Styela clava: one gene and its partners. The protein of the gene in region 3 purifies or fractionates together with the protein of the main gene of each other region. This does not show direct contact. Links are inferred from orthologs where the notes say so. Each region holds a gene or a part of one and is shown on either strand. Other genes may lie near its edges.

Region 1 (8,485 bases), on a different chromosome or scaffold from region 3:
AAAGTCCTTAACCGACATCAATAAGTGGTGTATTGCAATTGCTACAAATTAACTTTGGTCTGAATTTATTTGGTATTTAAATCCATAAAATCCTGAACAACTACAATAAGATAAATAGTATTCCTAATATTTTATTATTCTTTCTTCACAGGTAAATGACATTTCAGTGCAGATGAACACAGCAAATAATAATGAGAAACTTTGGCAGGTCAAACATTTAATCAGGTATTATGATTTTGCTCAGTTCTCGTGGTGGTAAATTCAATTAGGAAGGCCAAATAATACAGACTATTGTCGTATGCTAACTTGCTAAGTACCATCAAATTTTCAGAATTCATCCAATTCAATTTCCAAATGGCCTCCCAACTAAAGAGGACATAGGTGGGACACATTTAAAAAGTAATGGTGAACTCATCATCTTCAAACGATTGGAAAATCCCGAGAACGAAAATGTCCTTGCACCAGAATTAAAACAAGAGCAGTGGAAAGTTGTAGATGGGTACAGGATGTGCAACAACTGTTCAGCCAGACGATGTATCAAATTACAAATGTGTCAAAAACTCTGGCGACAACGTGGCAGAAATCATCTGGAAAAAATTGGTCCTAAAATGTTCAACTATGTAGATCCACCTGAAGCCAGACAAACTAGTGATGCAGAAGGTGGTGGTACTTTATGACCAAAAGATCGTTTCTCAGCATCATCATGCGATAGTTAGTCCATCTTGCTGCAGTTCATGGCTTAGCTGTGTTTGGAGGTCACTGAGCTTTTTCTTAAGAACAGAGAGCCCTGACAGAATGATGTTCTCTGGTTTTATGGCTCCTGTAGATTCCACATTGACGAAAAATTTGTTTGCTTTGCCATTCGGATCAAATCTGAACAAAAATAAATTTAATGGCTACTGTAGCTCATTGTGGTTTTAATAAAACCAAGCCACGACAACTTACTCTGCTTGATGTCTATCATCATCATCTGTGAGATCACTGTGTTCGCTCCTAGGCCATTCTTCGGGTTTTGGATAAGTTGTGTGACGAAGTGCGTTATCTGGGTCATATTCGAAAGCACATGCACAAACTGTTTGCCATTTAGCATGTTCCTTTCCTATATTTATATTGAAGTTTCATTTATCCAACGAATGTTTCTCATCGAAAGCATTATACAGTAGACAGACATTAAGAAACCCGCTTACCAAATCCCTTTTTAGCATAAGCTTTGAATTTTAGGCATTGTCCTTTTCTTAATTTAACAATCAGTATGTCATCTTGTTCTCCATAATTTTCAACCTCGTCTCCTCTACTTCTCGATGTAACTGGAACAACCTTAGTTTAACATGCAAACGGCATTCAATTCATTTGTTACACAAAATGTTTATGTTTTATGCAATCACTATTAGCCAGCAAAATAATGGGAATGTTTTAAACTGGAAAAAAATATTTGGATATGATTATGACCGAGACATTGGGTAGAAAAGTCAGATAGTGTTTGTTCATTCCATAATAAATAAATGTGTATTTCTCATGAAACTGCAGAATAAATAAAATAAAAAAATAGCATCTAATGGATAATTTTGATTTCAAGAATACCATTTTACCTTTGGATTCATGGATATTAAATCACGAGTAGTAACTTGTCGCGTGCTTTCACTTGTACATTTGACATCGAGATAAAATTCCACTGAACATTCTGGGCAGAATTCATCGCACATACAATCTCTTGAGTACTGAAATCAGGATAAATACGTTCTTCAGTAAAATAAAAAATGATCACTTTGGTTTGAATAATCTTATGTATTAATTACCGTAGTACATCAACTAACCAGGTATGATACATAGAATGAGGAACAATGAGAGATAGAGAACAGACAAAATGACCTAATCGCATGGGCTGGCTATAGGTCCCGTTCAAATATGCTTGGTTGAATTTTACTTATTGCTATTTACCTGAATTTTGTCCACTATCTCATCGGATGTTAATGGAATCAATCCAATCCTATGTGATAAAAACTCATCATTCAATACTGAAGAATTTTCCTCAATTTGAATCCAGTCAATCGCAAGTGTGGGAACCTTAAAATATATTTAAATAGAGTAATGTGAGGCGGGCAGTCACAACAAACAAACAATTTTTCAAAGAAACATGTCTCATATAGAATATTAGAATGGATAACACTTCACTACTTTTTAATTCACCGATAGTCCAGTTCATAAGATTGAAACATGAACTCTAGTAATCTTTATTGTTGAGTCTATGCCATGCTTATAGACATTTGTATTTCATGCATGCGTACAGGTAGAAGAATGAAGTTATTAATGAATGAGTTATTAAAATGTGCAAAGGTTAAAAGTTGAGGATGACTCTGGGATAGCTTAGGAGTTGACGACTGTAATGGCCATGGAAGCAAATAGAAAGCGAGTGTCGGGTATGACTAGACAATGTGATTTATTGTGCTAAGTATTAGAAATTCGCTCGCCACCGCACCTCTGATTATCCTGTGGGAGATAATTATGTGCAAGAGGATTTCTAGACTCCTCGCCAGAAAAGGGTGGCTCCACGGCTTCCGATATGGGCAATAAAAAAATAAGGTAATTCAGCAGCTAGGGTACCGGTATACCCTTAAAGACTGTGTCGGAGTACGGTATCTCTAAGTCGTTCTATGTTACAACAAGATAGGACTTCAAAATTTATCCAGGGGGAGAGGATAGTCGATAAGACAGCTTTTTCATATTGAATTGCCTACATCACGTTAGTGCATTTATGTGGCATGTTCAAAACTCATATCAAGTTTAGGATAGGATAGGATTTACATATTTATCCCGGGGGAGAGGAAAACCGAAAAGACGGCTTATCCATATGGCGAACCACGGCCTCTCGTCCGGTTACCATTCCAAGTCGGGTATGGGATTAGTTATATTGTTTGTTTTCGGAAGCATGGACTTGGTGGTGGAGGAAGTCGTAACCGACCAGCGGTTACGTGAACCACCCAACGACGGCGAGGAGTCCAGCAATCCTCTCGCACATAACCATCCCTGCATGGGATTCGAACCTGCGAACCCAACTTTGGTTTAGCCAACTCTCCGGGTTCTCCATCCTGTTCCTCTCGGTTACCGGTATCAGAAATTCTCACCTCTGCAATAAATACCCGGCGGAGTGAATTTGCAACACTGAGATCTGTATCTTCAATAACAAATTTCACATTGTCTTTCGTAAGTTCCGTGATTGCGATTGTAGGCTGATTGGCGTAAGGCATTGTATTGTTTGTCTTCGATTTGTCAGCGCTAAACCCAGAATAATAAAAAAGCACACAATCGAACCCCTCAATATACGCCCCTGGAAAGAACAGAGCAAATGCAAAATTCGTACATAATTACAATTTGCCGGGTTGCATTTTTTCTATTTTCTGCTGAAATAACTTTTTTCTCATCTTAATGCGTCATTGCCCTTTTTCTTCTTTGTGTTTACGGACACCAAGTGGTCACGTAGCGAAAATGGCGACGGATTGTGCTCAGGGTCTTGTGCGTCTAATATTTTTCCTTTCTGTGTGGTAATTTATTTTAGTTAGAATAATTTTAAGTTATATTTTTGCCATGGATTAAATAACCGTTCGGCAGATTTTTCCTGGTATGAAAATCAGCGTAGAAATAATAATGTAGTAGATCCAATTTTGGCGATATGTCTGTGTGTGCGAGAATCTAAAAACTGTTTGGATTTTTTGCATTTCGCGCAACAATTTTGTGTTGAATTAAATAAAGTTTTTGGAATGTTTAAGTTTAAAAGGTATGCAATCTGATTGTGCGCGTTCTCTCGTGAGATCCTTTATATACGGCGATGTTGTGACTGTGTGATGTGTATTTAAATTCATCTACGATTTTCCGACGCCGTTCAGTCAGTCGTTAAGGAAGCGTAAAAATGCTATACGGGGTACTGAGATTTCTGAATTTATCGCCTTCGTTTAGCTGTATATACTGAAATTGTTGCTTCCTTATTATCTAGTATGAAATTTGCTCTTAAATACCTGCCTCAGCAGTGCAAAAGTAAAACATTTTTATAATATTAACCAGCATGAAGGATGATAAACACAGACCACCCTTATACTTCAGTACTTTGAAATTTTGAGTTTAGAATTGGGTTGAGTTTAGGCATAATCATTCGTAATATTAGTCAATTATAATCTTAATCAAACAAATTCAGGAGTTCGTTGATTTTAATAAAAATTTGCTTTCCTCATGACTGGTGTACCAATTCCATCTTGGTAATTCTTGTCAAATTTACTAAAATTTGGTGTAAAATGGAATGTTTACAACCCGAATCATGTCAACACATAAAAATTAATAAACTACAGATGAAAAAAGTATTTCTGTGATTGGATCAGATACCTTGTCCCACTTTGTAAGCTCCTTATTTAGGCTTCTGCTAGTTAGCCAAATCAACATATCAGGATGAATGATCATTTTTAAATATCACTAAATTGAATAATCTTTGTTCCAATAAATTGAAGTTGTAAGAATATTTGATGACAGTGATGGTTGAATATTTTTCCGGCTTTATTCAAAGCGAAGTTGTCTCATGGAAATATACAAAAACATAAAACTATTTACCGGTAAGCCTACCGGTACATGATATTCAATGCAAATGATGTATTGACAATTTAAATTTTTAGTAAAGCATTTTGATATCTTCTCAATGTGATCAAATTCTTAATTTATGTACAAGATTGTGCAAATACACAACAGAATTACAACTCAACCAAATGATTTTGTTTTTCAATTGACATGCTAAGGAAATTGAAATATCTCTTCCCGGCTCGGCGGTGTGGCGCATCATGCTAAGTGTTAGGAATATGCTTGTCACCGCACCTCTGATTACTGTTCGTGGGTTCCGATCTCATGCAGGGTTAGTTATGTGCAAACGGTTTCCGGACTCCTCGCCGCCATAGGGTGTTCATATAACCGCTGGTCGGTTACTGCCTCCTCCACCATCAAGTCCTTGCTTCCGAAAACTAATAACTGGCTAACTAATCCCATCCCGACATGGACTGGTAACTTAATGAGAGGCCATGCTTCGCCATATGATTAGGCTGTACTTTCCTCTCCCCCGGGATGAATATGTATATTCTATCTAATTAGATCCATATTAATTTTTCTGAATTTTGTTTTCATATTTAAAGATCTTAATAAGCTGCTGTATGTAAAAATTCAATATGTTTGATGATGAATTCTTTCCTCCTCCAGAGGCTCCAGTTTTTGAGCCAAACGAAGAAGAATTTGCTCATCCACTTGGATACATTGCTAAGATCAGACCTATAGCAGAAAAAGCAGGCATTTGTAAAATACGGCCTCCACCTTATTGGCAACCCCCATTTGCTATTGACGTAGAAAATTTCAAATTTACACCGAGAATACAGAGACTTAATGAATTAGGTATTCAAACTCGGATTCGACTTCAATTCATTCAGAAAGTAGCTAAGTTTTGGGAATTACAGGGTACTACATTCAGACTGCCACACATTGCCGGCTCTCCTTTAGATTTGTATGGTCTCCATGAGACCGTAAGGAAATTGGGGGGATTTGAAGAAGTCTGCAAGAACCGCCAATGGAATGCCGCATGTGTAAAGTTAGGAGTTGCAAAAAATTTTTCTGCAACAATAAAACAACATTATGAAAGATTGCTGTATCCATATGACATAATGGTTTCTGGCGTTCTTCTTGAGAGCCTTGATGGCTCTGGGAAACCACTTCCAAGTTTTTCAGGAAGATATGGAGGGAATAGCAAGGTAAAACCACAGAGAGAGCAAGAAGATGAAAGTGAAGCTGCCCGCCAGAAAAATAAAAGAAGAACTATAGATGATCCATCTCTTGTTGTAGACGTATCAAATAACAAAGAACTTGCCAAATTGCAGCTTTTTGGTGCAGGCCCAAAAATGGTAGGCCTGGGATTAATTGCTAAGAGAAGAAATCGAATAAAATCAGAAGAGGCAAATAAAAAAGAAATTAAAAGTGAACCTGCACCCGCTACTATCAAAATAGAACCGAAGAATGAGGATTGCAAAAATATATTTGATTTGATGGATTACAACGGGGAAATAGAAACTAAGATAAAGCCAGAAACTGCAATTCCTACCGCAACAGTTGACACAACCTCAATAAACACACGAAAGAAGGGTTCAGAACAGCTCCCATACTCCATTCTTGATACAATGGGTAATTGTAAAGTTTGTCTGAAGGATCACAATGACACTCAACTTTTACTCTGTGATGGATGTGATGACAGTTACCATACCTACTGTCTGATTCCACCATTGAACCAAGTTCCCAAAGGGGATTGGCGATGTCCAAAATGCTTGTCTAAAGAATGCAACAAAGTCATAGACGCTTATGGTTTTGAACAAGCAAGAAAGCAATACACACTACAAAGTTTTGGAGAAATGGCTGATGCTTTTAAGTCAGAATATTTTACAAAACCTGTTCACATGATCCCCACTGAGTTGGTTGAAAGAGAATTCTGGAGATTAATTGGATCAATAGAAGAGGATGTTGCAGTGGAGTATGGCGCCGATATTCATGTTCTTAATCACGGAAGTGGATTTCCTAGAATGTGCGACAAAGAGAAACATCCACTTTCTGCTGAAGAAGAGGATTATGCAAAAAGTGGATGGAATTTAAACAATCTACCAGTTGCGAAACAATCATTACTAAGTTATATGACTGGTGACATGTCAGGAATGAAAATACCATGGGTTTATGTCGGTATGTGCTTCTCTGCTTTTTGTTGGCACATTGAAGATCATTGGACATATTCTATCAATTATCTTCACTGGGGAGAACCAAAGACTTGGTATGGTGTTCCAAGAGAAGATGCAATCAAACTGGAAGAAGTAATGCAAAATACCGCACCTGACCTATTCAAGAACCACCCTGATGTTATGCATCATCTTGTAACCACTATCAATCCTTCAACTCTGATGAACAATGGTGTGCGAGTTGTCCGAACTAACCAATGTGCGGGTGAATTCATTGTTACCTTCCCCAGGGCATATCATGCAGGTTTTAATCAGGGATATAACTTTGCAGAAGCCGTGAACTTTTGTCCAGCTGATTGGATACCTATTGGCAGACAATCTGTTGCTCACTATCGCGCAGTAAAAAGAGCATGTGTGTTTTCACACGAAGAAATTTTATGTAAAGTCGCCAATAATCCTGACGTTTTAGATGTTCAACTTGCAGCTGCTGTTTACAGAGATATGCTTGCTATGCTGCAAGAGGAAAGAGAAGCAAGAAAGAAACTTCATGAGCTTGGTGTATGTCAAGCTGAAAGGGAAGCTTTTGAGGTTGTACCCGATGATGAACGTCAGTGTTTCATCTGCAAAACAGCATGCTTTTTGTCCGCAATTACATGCCCATGTAGACCAGATCACCTTGTCTGTACGTTCCATGTCAACAGGCTCTGCAGCACTTGTGATCCAAGTAAATTTATACTTCGATATAGATACACATTGGATGAATTACCTCCATTGCTTCATAAGATGAAATTGCGAGCGGAGTCTTTTGATACATGGACTACAAAATTAGGCGATGCGTTTTCAAGATTTGAAAACAAGTATACATTACACGAATTGAAAGAATTGCTTGAAGAAGCTGTGCAAGGGAAATTTCCAGAAAATGATTTGCTGCATCAATTGCAGTCAGCTGTACGGGAAGCCGAAAAGTGTTCACGAGTTGCCCAACAGCTTGTTGTGGTTAGAAAGCACAGGACTAGGCAAAAAGAAATTCATTCCACAGCTGGTATTATAACTCATCCAAATACTTGTTTATTGACGCTGGAAGAAATAAGGGCTTTTTATCTACAACTATTAGGTTTACCATGCACAATTCCAAACTTGGATCAGGTTTCTGATTATATAAAGCGAATTGAAAAATTTGTTACTCAAACTGAAATTATTCTGCAAGAGGAAGAACCTTGCAGTCATAACATTGCTGTTTTGATAGAGGATTCACTAGATTTTGATCTGGAACTTCCACAGGTGACGTTACTACACCACGCACTACAACAAGCAAAGTGGTTAGAAGAAGTCAGATCTTGTCTCCTTTTGGACGATGAAATAAATGATTGTGATCCTCCACCATCATTGATAACATTGGAGCAATTAAGGAAGTTGATAGATTCTGGAGTGTCTGTGTCACCTAGGCCTGCTGTTGAACGTGCAATGGCTGAGTTGCAGGAACTTCTCAATCTTTCAGAAGCATGGGAGGATAAGGCTAAAAGCTTTCTCGAAATGAAGGAAAAAGGCAGTCTAAAAACAGCAGAAGTTATCACATCCGAGTCCCAAAATGTTCCAGTGCAACTTATACATTGTGCTGAGCTACAGGAAGTGGTTGAAAAAGCAAACATTTGGGAGAAAAAGTTGCATACCATTCATAATCAGGATTACTATCCATATCTTGAGGTTTTGGAAGCTCTCCTTCTACAAGCAAATTCTATGGAAGTCAAACT
Region 2 (7,755 bases), on a different chromosome or scaffold from region 3:
TGGCCATATGGCCACTCAAGAGTCGAACAATTCAATGGACAATGGGTTTTCAAAAGATTTTATTTTAAACTTTCACTAGAACTGATTACAAATCATGCATTACAATGCGCAATACAAAGTATAAGCATAAAATCTATACTAACCCTGAGATCGCCTGTGCCTGGAAAGTATTCACCATACTTATGGAATGAAACTGTCATAACTCTATCAGTTGTATAAAAGGCTTCTTCCACACCATCACCATGATGAATATCAATATCAATGTATAAAACACGTTGATGATACCTATACACAATATTTTTTGTCTCAGTATATTCTTACACATAAAACAAAATTGGTATTCTGAAACTCTTGATTTCAATTCATTTTAATTTTGAATATTCTAAAATCTAAATAGATCACTTTTATTTTATTTGACTGTGATTTCAACAAAAAAAAATGAAATTTAGATAATTTGGTTACAGTTTGAATTTGATTACCGTACTCTCATTAAAATTATTGTTTCAATAATAATCTCTAAAAATCAACAATTCATATTCACTACACTCACTTTAGAAGTTCTAATATAGCAAGCACAATATCGTTAACATAACAAAAACCAGAAGCTTCTGATTTTTTAGCATGATGAAGTCCACCTCCCCAGTTGATTGCAATATCAGTTTGCTGCTTGTTAATTTTGACAGCTCCAGCTATAAAAATACCAGACAGAATATTAGATGAAAGACTTGGTATATTGAACTTATCTTATAACTTATCGTATAAATATCTCCTTTTTGAATAAAGTACAAGCACTCGCTGAATGATGAGAAAACACAATGGTGAGAAGCTGGTGATGCCTAGAAATTTTTTTCAGTCTGAAAAGCTTTTACATTCAGGGTGAGATTTGGCCTTAAATTAAATAATGTGTTGATTGAGCTAGATTTATTCAAAACCAGTGATGCCAATATAGTTATTCCAATACAACCACTTTACTTTGTACACATCTTCATAACAAATCATCTAATATAGGACTTATTATTCTGCTCTAATATGCTATGATACTTGTATGTATATATATTACATATTAGACTTACCAATTGATCCACCACCAGATAACTGACAAAATTCATAAAGTCCATCGAAAACTGGACAATCTTCTCCGACATTAACTGAAAAAAAAATTTATCACACTTCTTGAAGCAATATCACAGGGTTTCAAATTATGCTTTCTTAGGTATAATTGTCCCAAAAATTCACAAAGCCACACACTACACCAGGGTCGACCAACCTTTTTGGCCGTCGGGCGACATTTAGTTTACTAATAATTGCGTGGGCCACTTAACATGGTAATTATGTTCTAGTTTTGTTACACTGACTAAAAGTTAATAAAAAACAAACAAAACCCTCGCACCAAACTTTCTCACTAATAAGAACAATAAAAAAACAAAGATACAGTAAAGTCAACAAAGTTTTTTCTACACATAGATATTTTAGTGTGAAGTTTGGCACTGTTTTCGCTAACAAGTTAGTAAATATTCGCTGAAATGAACGATGTAGCAATGCGAAGTGAATTTTCCATATGACTTTCAGAAATTAGTGATCTCACAGGGGATTTGACATGGTTCATCTGTGCCCAAGTGTGTAAGCTACTATTTATGTATCGATACCTTCCAGTTGATTTCGAATCAAAATGGCACTCATGGCTCGTTTGAAAGGGCTAGCAGAGCGCATTTCAGGAAAATTAACAAATTGTTTGTATCAAATCTTCATATTAACTACATCATTCTGAAAATGGAAGTTTTACTCAATTTTTTTTTATATTTAATTTCGAAAATACAGCGCGGGCCACTCAAAGCTCCTTGGTGGGCCACATGTAGACTGTGGGCCACAGGTAGGACGACCCTGCACTACACACTCAAAGATACAATATGATTAAAATTTAGTGTAGATGTATTATTAAATAGTCTTAGAAAATCCTTACATCTCTGCATTTGTTTTGTATATTCAGACATGTTGTCAGGTCTTATGCTGCGCAGAAATTTTATGTAATCATCACTGTGGTATTTTGTCATCTCATCGCTGTTGCATTTATGTGGTCGCTGTGAAATAGATTAAAGAATAAACAATGCACTGACTATGAATTTTATTAATTCACCATATTTTTGACCTGCAATTAGAGAAGCTTATGGCCACTGTATTATTGGGTTTGACAAATGGAAGGGGAGCCAAACATGGGTTACTGGTTGCAACACCCAAAATGCATTACACAAATAATGATTCCATTCATTGAAAAGTTTGAAATCCAATATTTTAATAATATAGGTACCTCAATATAAATTTGTTTCATTTTTTATATACAAGAGGAAAAATATTCAAACAAATATATCAAACTAAAAATATGATTCGTGAGGTTTTCGAAGTGACATTTTGTTTTAGCAATATTTTCAAATTCTATTTGGAGGCATATTTCTATAAATGTGAGTGTACAAAATTTTTAGCTTACAAAAATTTCCATTTTTCGATACAGTCCATAGTTTAAAAGTAGATTGTGGGTCATGCGTATTCGGTGTGGTTTCATTGGATGACCCTGGCCATAGTAGTAGTTTCCAACATCAGCTGTTCGAACAAAATTGATAAATGAAAATTAAATGGAATATTTGAAAACCATAACCAACCAGCGGTTACGTAAACCACCCTATGACAGCGAAGAGTCCAGCAATACTCTTGCACATAATTATAACCAACAGGATTCGAACCTGTGAACCCATGCAGGATAATCAGAGATGCGATGGCAAGCGTATTCCTAACACTTGGCATGATGTGTCATACTGCCGAGACAAGATTGTAGTTGCATTTCATATCGTATCAAAGAGACTAAAAGATCTGACAACGCAGTTTAATCATATTGAAAGCCACATCTTTTTGTCTGGACTCATTCTTCATGAGAATAGTTATTCCAGAAATAAACATTGGTTTCTGATCATTATGAATTAATATTTGGTAATGTTGTATATTTCCACTAAATACGACAAACGTATATCACACAGTCATCACAGTTTTAAAGTAAAAATGAAATAATGAACCAACATGGTAATTACTGCACGGGGCTCTACTGGCACACGTACCTCCGACAAAGCCAAGCGAAGTTATAAAAAGTGAATAGTTCAGCTATTACCTGGATAATTTTGGAAATATACTTACAATCATAATAATAGCAAACTTTTCTGTTTGTTGGATTCGTCAGCGCCATTCCTTCAACCGAAATACTTTAAAAACGAACAAATAATTCACGCAGAGACAGACGCGCAGACCACACCACAGCGACAATCGGAGGAAACTAAACGATATGTAGCGTTGCCAGATCGTAATATCAGCAGTGCTTTTGAGAGAGAGAGAGAGAGAGAGAACTTATTTATTTCGTCAAACCAGAAAACGATTAAATATATATGATAGCAAATTGAGAAAATTTAGTTTTTGATAGATGACTGGGTGGTAACGATACAACCATTTACGGTCATTTGAGTCAGTTATCACCCAAAACAAGCAAATTAACAAACAAATTAATAACACAGGTTCTGTTATACTTACGGTTATACCACACTCTCAATAAATATAACAAAAAAAACGATATACACTATGTGCAAAAAAAACAATATTTGATTATAGGAGAGATAAATTTGTCTATTCGGGATAAGGGAATTATTTGAATAAATTTTTTAAAGCAAATATTCCAAGAATTAAGAATTCTATACCAAATATATTATTATACTAGTTAATTAGTATATATATTAATCCACACATTCAATCTGTCCTGAATCTTTTTATGTGCATACACAAGTTAAAATATAAAAGATGAGTCACAATATCACAAAGAAAAGTTCCACAAGCAACAATAATATGTTGTGTGAAGTAAATCACAGTTTGACCGTAAATATGGTTTGACATATGAATTATGGGCATAACAGTAATACGATTTTTTTTATTTTTAATTCATTAGCTTGAAGAAAATATGGAACAACGGCATGGTTTGGAAATTTAGTTATCAATATTAAGTAGAACAAAAGCTAAAAACCTAATGAAAAAAAGTATTCTACTTATGTGATAGAGATCGAATATCGTATTTATATCGCTGGTTCGGGTACCGCAGTGAGAATATATACACATTTGATACGGATAATCATATATGACCAGTTGACGACCTATCGTTCGTTCATAGGCCTACATCATTTTACGACATACAAGTTGAAAATCTTTGATAGATTAGGATCAGGTCTGTTATAGTAAGGACATTGAACGCAAAATTTCAATCTGTTCATACAATTATTATCAGAAAATGAAAAGAGGCGCCAAAAGTTTTAAATACGGCAATAGCGGAAATGTTTCAAAACCGCAAAATGTTGGATAATCGATAAATATAGCATATAAACGAAGTGAAGTGAAAAAAAATATTGTACACACAAATTAAAACTTATATAATTTTATCAAACCATTCCTCTTTTTAATGAAGCATGAAGCTAAGATTAAACCAATTTAAGGAAATGGCAACAAATTCTGAAAGTTATAGGCCTACTGCCAATGTATTATTAAATAGTGCATAGAATATTCTAAAATGAAACTTCACATTTTGAATCTTCCTTATATTATAGTTAAGTCACGTGTTTCTTCAATTTTGATTATATCCAATTTGTCTTTGTGAGATCAATGTTTTTAAAGAAGTGCCTTGAAATTATGTTCAAAGTTCTTCTATTTCTGGTTGTAATTTAATGGAGCGGCTAGAGTTGTCCACTTTTTTAGTGGGAATTTTCCTGCATAGATCGTAATTATTGAGGTAAAGGTGAAAGTGCGACCATGAAAAACATCGCCAACATGTAATTCAAATTAATTTTAAATCACATAGCTTTTTGTTGATTGTACACATATTTTACCAATTTGCAATGAAGAAAACAATTAGCCTACATGAAAGGTCCCAGGATGAAAAAATTGTTTTTTGGAGGGGGAACCAATTTTTTTATAATGACATAATGCGACGCTAACTCGTGCCTTTTGCTCCAACCAAGGCGAGATAAAGACTGCTAGAAGACAATATCTTAAATAATCTCTCTACGGGCTTACTTCGCTGTTCAAGTTATATATATATAAGCAAGCATTTTCATCTATCTGGTTGGGGTATTCGGAGCAAGGATTATTATGTCTCATCACAAATGCCTCGAAATTGCATTAAACAGCTGAATATTTTAGAGGTGGGGCATGGCCTGGCTATGGCCACAAAGGGTCCTTCATTCACTCGATATATTTTACAACCATTTTGTGTTTTATTCAAGGATTCAGATGCCGGAATAAGCAACTGACGTTAGGTTAACATTAAAAAACTAATATGATAAGATTTACATATTTATCCCAGGGGAGAGGAAGGCCGCTAGTCCGATTACCAGTTCATGTCGGATATGGGATTAGTTAGTTATTTGTTTTCGGACGCATGGGCTTGGTGGTAGAGGAAACCGTAACTGACCAGCCTTACGTGAACCCCCCTACGTTGACGAGTAGTCCAGCAATCCTCTCGCACATAACTATCCCCGCATGGGATTCGAAAATGCGAACCCACGCAGAGTAATCAGATGTGCGGATGGGGGTCCAGTACGCCAGATAATTTCTTTGATAAGATTGTCTCTGTGTGCCCATTCGTAAGATAACGAGCATTAGTGTTTAAAATCCTACTAAAGACATCACTCGTTTCCCCCAATATTGGTGCTAATTGTATGCAAGTGTGCGTTCTATTTCAAGTAGTCAAAGTAATCTTAGCGTCATAAAATACTAAGTTGACAGTTCGAGATTGACACTGGCGGTTGGTACCTGTTCTTACATCATGCAATTTATAGAAATACGTTTGCCATCGCACCTCTTATTACTTTGCGTGGGCTCGAATCCCGTGGGGTTATATCGTGCCAGAGGACTGAATTTCCTACAGCCGTTGAGCGAGTGCTTCACTATACTAACGGTTGGTTACGTCTTCCTCCACCAAGTCCTTGCATCTGCAACAAAGAATGTGAGGTGTGGAACGCCAATGGCATATGATACAAACGTCTGCAATAGCCTGATATTGCCACTATACCGCCATTGCCTGAGATTAATATGGAATTCCCTAATGATATTGAGCAGGGTAACAAATGAAAATGCACTTCGAATTTGAACTATAATCATTTGTCATAATATGGCATTGGGCTTTTGAAACTTTTTTGATATTTCCCCAAAAGACATTTTCATCATTCTTCACATAATATTACGGTAGATACAAACAAAATACTTTGTTAAGTGTTCATTTTTAGATACAAAATGATTAGATTTCTTGGTGAAAAATATAATAATTAAGAATAGGACATAATATTTAGGTTTCAGAGAGTTCACTTTCGCTGACAACTTCTCCACCGACAGATACAAAACTGCCAGCTTCGCTATCCTCGCCTTCTGAACTCAGAGTCAATGATTGTTTTTTAGTTGAACTTTTGTTTTTACTTCTGAAATCAGAGGGAACATCCATTGCATTGTCTGGGGCACTATCTCTGATAACTTCATCTTGATGAACTGTTGTTGAGTATTTTTGGAATCTTTCCTTCATTTGATCATCATCACTGCCCTCACTTTCAGATCTTGCAAATGGATTTGCTTCGTCTTCATCTTCACTATTGCCTTCCTCATCCTCACTTGCAGACATTTCTCCATCCGACATCAGCAAATCTTCCAAAAGCAGACTCTTGCCTTCTTGGGCCTCGATGCCATCAGCTGTGTTAGAGTCGTTTTGAGTTCCGAGAGCTTGAGCTGCAGCGACTGAAACAAAATCATTCGATGAAGTGGGAACATCACTTTCCACATCTATTTTTTCATCTTCCATGTCGGTGAACATGGTATTACTCTTACTGTCATCTTGCTGCATTGCAGTGAAGGAGGAGTTACTATCTTCATCCACACCAATGTCCATGCTGTTTTCATCCATGACAACGTCGTCATCAGCTCCAGCCTCTGCTTCCTCTTCTGCCGCTTTCTTTGCAGCAGCAATATCATTTTCTAGCTGTGTTAAATGCTCATCATATTCCTCGAGTGTATTTCTGCAAACATCAACGATTTGTCGAGCAGTTTCAGTAAATTTTGATTCAGCGCCATTGAATTTTGAGCTGTTAATTAAAATAAGCTCAACATGTTCCATAAACTGTCCTCTATTTTGATACATATGTTTCTGAACATTCTTTTTCAGTGTGCCGAGATCCATTGGATGATCAACAACTTTGTAATAATCCGGCACAATTTTCTTATTGACAGGATTATGAAAAGGCCATGAATCTGAAATGGTCATCATTTTATTACTGATTATATTATCAAGAACAAAACTGAAAGAAACTTGGTCATCGTCATCAAGCAGAGGATTTATTGCTTTCTCCAGGCGCATCAATTTATCTTCCAAATCTTTGAATCTTGAGTCACAATAATCAGTCATATGAATAGCAGTCTTTGTTAATGGACTGTCTACACCATTATAAATTTTAGAATTGTTGACAATCAGATCTAAATGTTCTTTAAAATCTGCTCTAGATAAATATGAATGTTTATGAAGGTGATCTCTCATTGTTTGTAAATCCATTGGTTTTTCAATGATTTTGTAATAATCTTTGACCGCTCTTGGATTCACAGGGCAATGAAAAGGATGAGTTGATGGAAGTTCACGCAAACCATTAAGTACATTCTCAAGAAGTGATGACAAAGTTACAACAGGGTCTGCTCTTTTTC
Region 3 (7,850 bases):
GAAATATAATTTCCCATCTTGCCACAATATCGCTTTTAAAATTTTGAAACGCTTCTCAATTTAAGGTTAAATATTCACGCAAAAGAGGAGACAAATAAAATTATTGAAAAACGGTATGCTAGTAGACCTGCGGCAAGAGCTCAAGTCAAATAGATAATATATTATTTTATACACTCCAGATAATTATATGTTCTTGTAAACTTGATATACGCCGTTATACTTCATTCCAGGCATATAGTACATTTTTTGGATATTATTTTGGCAATGTACACCTTGTTAAAAAATTTGCGATACGCATATTTTAATATCATGACATGTACCGCAAAAATAGTGCAAGTTTCTGTAGTATAATTTGTATTGTAGTTCTGTGAGTTTGTTAAAATAGGTTCTGAGCAAGTAGCGATACTTTCACCAGGAATTTTATAATAACTTAATAATAAAATGTGTATCTGTTTGTTTAATATTTTGGTCTTATTGGGTTGTTGATTCATCGAGTTGGATGACTTTAACCTTAACTTCGTATATGCTGACCATACCGCCGAGCCAAGTTATCTGAGAAACATTTGCGGATAATTAAATTTTCAGAAGACTGTTCATTCGTTTTGCCGATGCGAAAGTTTGGTCCGAATTAGTGAGCATCGTTTTTTTTTAATCAGCTGTTTAACGATCACAGGTTTAAATCACTTAGTTAGGATCATACAGCGATATAACTCTGGACACAAAATGGCTGGTGTGACGTCACCTGAGCCATTATAGCTTGTTCCCACCAAAGTGACTGTAAACCAAGTGAGGACATGCATTGGTAACGTTATAAGCGCTGTTCGGTAGGTTCATTTTCATACAAAACTAAAGAACTTATATAATCCCCAGATGTGCGCTACGAAACTCACTTTCTAATCGTTTTTCAGGGCCTAGTTTCACCACAGAGAATGATAATGTTGACCCTCTATAGTTTCACGGCCAATGTGCATTGTTTCCGGTCTGAAAGACTGCGTGAATTGCAATTTTACGTCATTGTCGTCTTATTGCTGACAAGAAAATACCTCCATTCCTGATTTTGGTTTGGGTTCCATTATTCTGCAGGGGTTCTCAACCTGGGGTTCGCGAACTCCCGGGGGTTCACGAGAAGATTTCAAGGGGTACGTGGATGGCAGTCGAGTTTTTGTGTGTTGCTGTTTTTTGATATCCTTTATTACTATCAGAGGAAAATGCGTGCCGATTGAAACTGGATGCCAATTGAAACGTGATTTTCCCCCCGATCTTGCGTTGTTGTGATTGTGACGCAACAATGTGAAATTCACGGCTTCGCTGAAGGCAAACTGAAATTTCCAAAGACAGCGTGCTGCGAGCATTGGAGAAAGTGATGCGTGAGAGGGATTTTAAGAATTCATTGGTTGGGCGGAGGACTAGGGCAATAATAGTAACAGGGGAAGTAAATTTAGTTACATCTGGTCAATAAATTGTTTTTTCAACAAATTGTTAGTCAATATATCACAAAATTGTTTGGATGTCAGATTACCGGGGGTTTGCGTTGATTGTTTCGTGACTCGGTGGGGGGGGGGGGGGGGGACGGACCAAAAGTAGGCACTTGCAAATTAGGCACTTTTTTAGGCACTTATTTAGGCACTTTGGAAAAAAAGTAAAAAGGGCGTAATACCTTTTAAAAACATAATTAATTAGTTAAAAATGGTCAAATTAAATGTTGAAAACGCAAATTGCAACGGGCAAACTCAATAGCAATATATAAAACGCAGTATTAAAGGCAGTCGCACGCGCTTGGTCACCACATATGCTAGGCGCATACTTAGGCACTTCGAAAAATAAATAAAATGGCATATTCACTAATAAAAGACTGAGAAATAAACATATTACCCACACTGATTAGCCTGAGTAAATATCTAAGAGATGTACTTAAGTCTAGTACTGGAATTTAGAAATAATAAATTGTTACAGGTAGGCACGTTTTTAGGCACTTATTTAGGCACATCGAAAAAAAGGTGAAATGGACGTAATAACTCCTAGAAAGATAATGAATTAGTTCAAAATATTTAACTTAAATGTTGAACGCAAAAATTGCAACAGTTAAACCCAATACTGTAATGATTTTTAAAACGTAGTACTAAAGGTAGACGCACGCGCTCTGTCACCACATATGCTAGGCACATATTTAGGCACTTCGAAAAATAAAGAAAATGGCAATTATCACTAATAAAAGACAGGGAAATAAAAATATTACTCACACTGATTAGCCTGGGTAAATATCCAATAGATGCACTTGAGTCTAGTACTGGAATTTAGAAATAATAAATTGTTACAGGTAGGCACTTATTTAGGCACATCGAAAAAAAAGGTGAAATGGGCGTAATAACTTTTAAAATGATAATTAATTAGTTAAAAATTGTCAAATTAAATGTATAGTACGCAAATTGCAATGGGTGAACCTAATAACAATATTTAAAACGTAGTATTAAAAGGAGTCACACGCGCTCGGTCACCACATATGCTAGGCACATATTTAGGCACTTTGAAAAAAGAAGAAAATCGGAACTATCACAAATAAAAGACAGAGTATTAAAAATTTTACCCACACTGATTAGCCTGGGCAAATATCCAATAGATGCACTTGAGTCTAGTACTGGAATTTAGAAATAATAAATTGTTACCGGTAGGCACTTTTTTAGGCACTTCGAAAAAAAGGTGAAATGGACGTAGTAACTCCTAGAAAGATAATGAATTAGTTCAAAATATTTAAATTAAATGTTGAACGCGAAAATTGCAACAGTTAAACCCAATAACGATTTTTAAAACGTTGTATTGAAGGGAGACGCACGCGCTCGGTCACCAAGTATGCTAGGCACATATTTAGGCACTTCGAAAAATAAAGAAAATGGCAATTATCACTAATAAAAGACAGAGAAATAAACATATTACCCACTTGCAGTCTAGTACTGGAATTTAGGAATAATAAATTGTTACCAGTGGGCACTTCGAAAAAAAGGTGAAAGAAACGTAGTAACTCCTAAAAAGATAATGAATTAGTTCAAAATATTTAAATTAAATGTTGAACGCGGAAATTGCAACAGGTAAATCCAATACCGATTTTTAAAACATAGTATCAAAGGGAGACGCACGCGCTCTGTCACCACATATGCTAGGCACATATTTAGACACTTCGAAATATAAAGAAAATGGTAATTATTATGGATAAAAATACAGAAAATAAAAATATTGATCAAAATAATTAGCCTATTTGAATATCCGATGAATGCACTTGAGTCTAGTAGTGATATTTGAGAATAATAAATTGTTACCGGTAGGCACTTTTTAGTCACTTATTTAGACACTTCTAAAAATGCGTAAAATGGGCGTAATACTAATAACTTTTAAAACGATAATGAATTAGTTTAAAATATTTAAATTAAAAAATTAATATGCAAATTGCAACAAGTAAACCCAATGATATCGGTTTTTATATTTTGCATATTTGAAAATATCTTAATTCTTTACTTTGTAATTTTGTTTTTGATAAATTAAAATATAAGACATCCCCCGAAAATAAGCCCTAGTGGTAATTTTAGGAAGAAATTTGAAATAAGACACTGTCTTAATTTCGGGGAAACACGGTAAAAGGTGTCTACCGGTAACAATTTATTATTCTCAAATACCACTACTAGACTCAAGTGCATCTATTGGATATTTACCCAGGCTAATCAGTGTGGGTAATATGTTTATGTCTCTGTCTTTTATTAGTGATAATTGCCATTTTATTTATTTTTTGAAGTGCCTAAATATGTGCCTAGCATATGTGGTGACCAAGCGCGTGCGACTGCCTTTAATACTACGTTTTAAATATTGCAGTACTAGACTCAAGTGCATCTATCGGATATTTACCCAGGCTAATCAGTGTGGGTAATATGTTTATGTCTCTGTCTTTTATTAGTGATAATTGCCATTTTATTTATTTTTCGAAGTGCCTAAATATGTGCCTAGCATATGTGGTGACCAAGCGCGTGCGACTGCCTTTAATACTACGTTTTAAATTTTGCAGTACTAGACTCAAGTGCATCTATTGGATATTTACCCAGAACCCTTGCATTATTGCGACATTCAGTGCTACCAATGACAATTTCTGTATTTTGTACCATATTTTATGCAGTTAGCATCAGATCATTCAGTATCATTTCTCCATTTTTGGGGGTTCGCGTTGATTGTTTCGTGACTCGGGGGGTACCGTACTTGACAGAAAAAAGGTTCAGAACCCCTGCATTATAGCGACATTCAGTGTTACGGTATGGCGCTATTTCTGTATTTTGTACCATATTTTATGCAGTTAGCATCAGATCATTCAGTATCATTTCTTCATTTTTTTTTACTTTCTGCAGTTAACGGTTCAGATGAGATGGTTTATAACTTTTATGCGCATAGTCAAATTATACGGTAACTCTTGTTCTAAGGCGATTTTCTGGATATTCTGTGGGAAGATACGGTACCGGCAATATGACTACCGGTATAAGTGTAATAAGAAAATCCGGTAATCACTTTGGGTGCCGGTAGGTGACAATTGGGGATCGTACCGTAATATATACAGGAATATGACGATAATGGAAATACTGTAGAGCAATGAGAATACCGGTACCAGCGCGGCGGTGTGGCTCAACGGGCAAAGCGTTAGGGATACGCACGCCACAGCACCTCTAATTACTCCTGTACTCTGCGTGGGTTCGCAGGTTCGAATCCCATGCAGGGATGGGTATGTGCGAGAGGATTGCTGGACTCCTCGTCGTCGTTGGGTGGTTCACGTAACCGCTGGTCGGTTACGGCTTCCTCCACCACCAAGTCCATGCTTCCGAAAACAAACAATACAGCAATATAACTAATCCCATACTCGACTTGGAATGGTGACCGGACGAGAGGCCGTGGTTCGCCATATGGATAAGCCGTCTTATCGGCCTCTCCCCCGGGATAAATATGTAAATCCTATCCTACCTAACCTGAGCGATCTGACCATCGATAGGCTACGGCCGTCCGAACAGCTCCTATAATGTTCGAAGCAATTGCAGAATTAGGTATAATAATGTCGCAGTGAGCGGTACCTGTAGTTATTATTATAAAGGAAGGAAGCAGTTATAAATTCCAGAATTTTGCATCTTGAGAGATTAAAAAAAAGTAATATCGAGAAACAAAATGTAAAGTTAGCCTGTTCTTACCGTAATTGAATATTTTAGAATTTGGCATCCTCCAAGTCCATGCGGTACAGGTACTTTCGAAAACATATCATTGGCTAACTAAAGCCATAACCGACATGATCAGGGGTCACCATGTGATTAGGCTGTCATATCGGCTTTCCTCTTCCTCGGAATAAATATGTAAATCCCATTCTATCTCGGTATCCCTAGTTAGACCAGTCTCAAAATTGCTTGTTCTGGGTATTTTTCACTTTTTCTAACATTTTGTATGTCCAACTGAAAATATTAGCTAACTACCCTAACTATTTTGCCACTTTAGAAGTACTGAAGTAACAATGACTTACCGTTGATCCATTATTCTGATACCGTATTGGTTGCATTTTTTCATTCTTTGATGTATGATGGCATGAGGCGCAGTTCTTACCACTTCATGGCAGCTCCTGCCACGAAGATGTATGATGGCATGAGGCGCAGTTCTTACCACTTCATGGCAGCTCCTGCCACGAACGAACCGCGGCATCACTTGCCATGGTTTTATAGCGCTATTCAGTAATCAGTATTAACTGTATATTCACAAATTCATGTACCGGTACCAGACATTAATTAATCATGCGGAATTATATCTATTTAAACCCTAACCCCAAATCTATCAAAACTGTATCTATAAGAAAAACGTTCCAACTTACCCAATATTTGTCACCGTAAGTGACAGCCCTGTCCTTATGGCCCACCTGCCGTGGTTACGACAGCAAAATTTTACCTGCCATTCAGCCATTGGTTTTCAATTTGCTGCCGCGGTAACGGTAGCTCGTCATTGGTTTGTGGCAGCAAAAAAGTCGGTCGCCATAGGTTTGGCCATAGCGGCCATGGTATGGAAATACCGCCATGGTTTTGCGGCAGCTGCAGACGCCACAGAATACTTAAAACTGCACTTGGATGGCATTGTGCATGAGAATGGGCATCTTTAATATAGATTCGTTTCTTAATTAATTCCAAATTTTCTGTTAAAGATGCGCTGAGTTTGCCTTACTGATTTATATGCTTCTTGGCAAACAGCAATTTTGCACCTCCTTGGGTTAATCTCCTTGTCATTCTATGGGTCGATGAAAAATGCAAACAATACCAAAATTTTACTACTTATCCATACTATGTTTTCCGAAGAAATGAACGCTCTATGATGAGTACCTGAAAAGCAAATAAAAATAAAAATTCCCATGTGTATCGTTTTTGTTATTATGTTGCTGTTATTGTTAGAATTCTTTTTCTCATTCTTGTTGTTGCCTTATGAAAAATTATCTTTTCTAAAATTAATTAATGGACCATTGTATTCCTCATATATCCAAACTTATTTTTATTGATTTTGTATTTGTGCTGTATTTCAGTCGGACACAGTTCTCGGATTCCAATAAAACAAACATTCTGATTGTCCCTGAAATGAGGGTGTCTGACATGATGGCAGATCGTGCCACGATTGGCTCAATAATAATTTGAATCAATCACAACGTGCGTCAACCATCACATGACCAGAATTGCTTTTTATGCTAGAAATTCTCGAATGCTACCGTAATTATTTTTTCTTTTGTTGAATCAGATTATTTCTGACGTTTCTAGATTGTGCTTCGTTTCAGTTTATTGCACAGTGCTCGTTCGCCGATTTGTGCCATTATGGAGACCCAGACTGTCTCATAAAGGAGGGGTTTGCACTCATTGGTATAATTGATGTCTTTCAACGTGGGGGCTATTCTTGGAATCAGAGATCTGTATTTAGTTGGTGGAGAATAGAGATATATAGTGAAAAAAACTGATGCTTTTTGAGACCATTTTACATCTGAGTATCTAACTGTTTGTGAATATTTTTTATTTGTTCAAATTTAGAGACTGATCTAATTAATGTATCACAAGTTAATGAAAAAAATCTAGACATGTCAAATCAGTTTGACAAAAAGGATGAACCTGGGGTTAAACCTTCACCACCAGGTTCACAGCATTCACAACATGCATTGTACGCTCGGCGACAAACACCTGGCATTCTTCATGGCCAACAAACTCTCGTATCTCTGGTTCACGGACCAAATGCGAGCACGTATCGGGATACAACCGCAGAAAGACCTATCATTCCCAATTCTACAAGTGTTGCAATATCAACCACAAGATTCGGTGTTCCATCTTATAATCGTCCACCTACATTGTCACAGCAGGCTACAATTTCCCAGCCATTATGTTTACCCTTGCAACCACAAGCAGTAATGCAGCAACCCTCAGAGAGCCTATCTCAACAGCATCATATGCCACACCAAGCTCCGATTTTGCACCACCCGGTCATTGCGTCTGGACTTCTTGGTCATCTTTCTCTTCCACAACTTCCTGCATCATCGCAGGCTCAGATCCAAGCTCAACAACAGCAACAACAGTCTCAGTTTCAGCGCTTAAAAGTCGAGGATGCACTGTCTTACTTGGACCAAGTTAAATTTCAATTTGGAAACCAACCTCAAGTGTACAATGATTTTCTGGATATCATGAAAGAGTTCAAGTCACAAAGCATTGATACACCAGGTGTTATTCAAAGAGTCTCTAGTTTATTCGCAGGACATGCTGATCTCATTGTTGGATTCAACACTTTCTTGCCTCCTGGCTATAAAATAGAAGTTTCTGGTAATGATCAAG

The links. Proteins that work in one complex are often made in the same cells at the same time.
Region 1: the proteins of paired amphipathic helix protein Sin3a-like (region 3) and lysine-specific demethylase 5A-like purify together in Drosophila melanogaster (affinity purification with western blotting; 3 studies listed by BioGRID, with this or other methods). This does not show direct contact. The link is inferred for Styela clava from reciprocal best matches to the Drosophila melanogaster genes Sin3A and Kdm5.
Region 2: the proteins of paired amphipathic helix protein Sin3a-like (region 3) and histone deacetylase 1-like purify together in Drosophila melanogaster (affinity purification with western blotting; 3 studies listed by BioGRID, with this or other methods). This does not show direct contact. The link is inferred for Styela clava from reciprocal best matches to the Drosophila melanogaster genes Sin3A and HDAC1.

What each region holds. Positions count from the first base shown.
Region 1 is NC_135263.1:18,251,795-18,260,279, reverse strand, and holds the start of lysine-specific demethylase 5A-like, read left to right. Parts: upstream 1-5,145; 5' UTR 5,146-5,195; coding exon 5,196-8,485. Other genes in the region: uncharacterized protein LOC120341062, read left to right, coding at 152-225, 332-677; DNA-directed RNA polymerase II subunit RPB3-like, read right to left, coding at 702-873, 946-1,099, 1,188-1,317, 1,590-1,718, 1,939-2,064, 3,123-3,245. UniProt on the Drosophila melanogaster protein: Histone demethylase that specifically demethylates 'Lys-4' of histone H3, thereby playing a central role in histone code. Does not demethylate histone H3 'Lys-9', H3 'Lys-27', H3 'Lys-36', H3 'Lys-79' or H4 'Lys-20'.
Region 2 is NC_135257.1:9,276,078-9,283,832, reverse strand, and holds the start of histone deacetylase 1-like, read right to left. Parts: upstream 3,341-7,755; 5' UTR 3,230-3,340; coding exon 3,181-3,229; intron 2,596-3,180; coding exon 2,483-2,595; intron 2,079-2,482; coding exon 1,961-2,078; intron 1,149-1,960; coding exon 1,074-1,148; intron 690-1,073; coding exon 551-689; intron 286-550; coding exon 144-285; intron 1-143. Other genes in the region: transcription initiation factor TFIID subunit 1-like, read right to left, coding at 6,362-7,755. UniProt on the Drosophila melanogaster protein: Catalyzes the deacetylation of lysine residues on the N-terminal part of the core histones (H2A, H2B, H3 and H4).
Region 3 is NC_135250.1:15,215,244-15,223,093, reverse strand, and holds the start of paired amphipathic helix protein Sin3a-like, read left to right. Parts: upstream 1-4,574; 5' UTR 4,575-5,597; intron 5,598-5,654; 5' UTR 5,655-7,108; coding exon 7,109-7,850.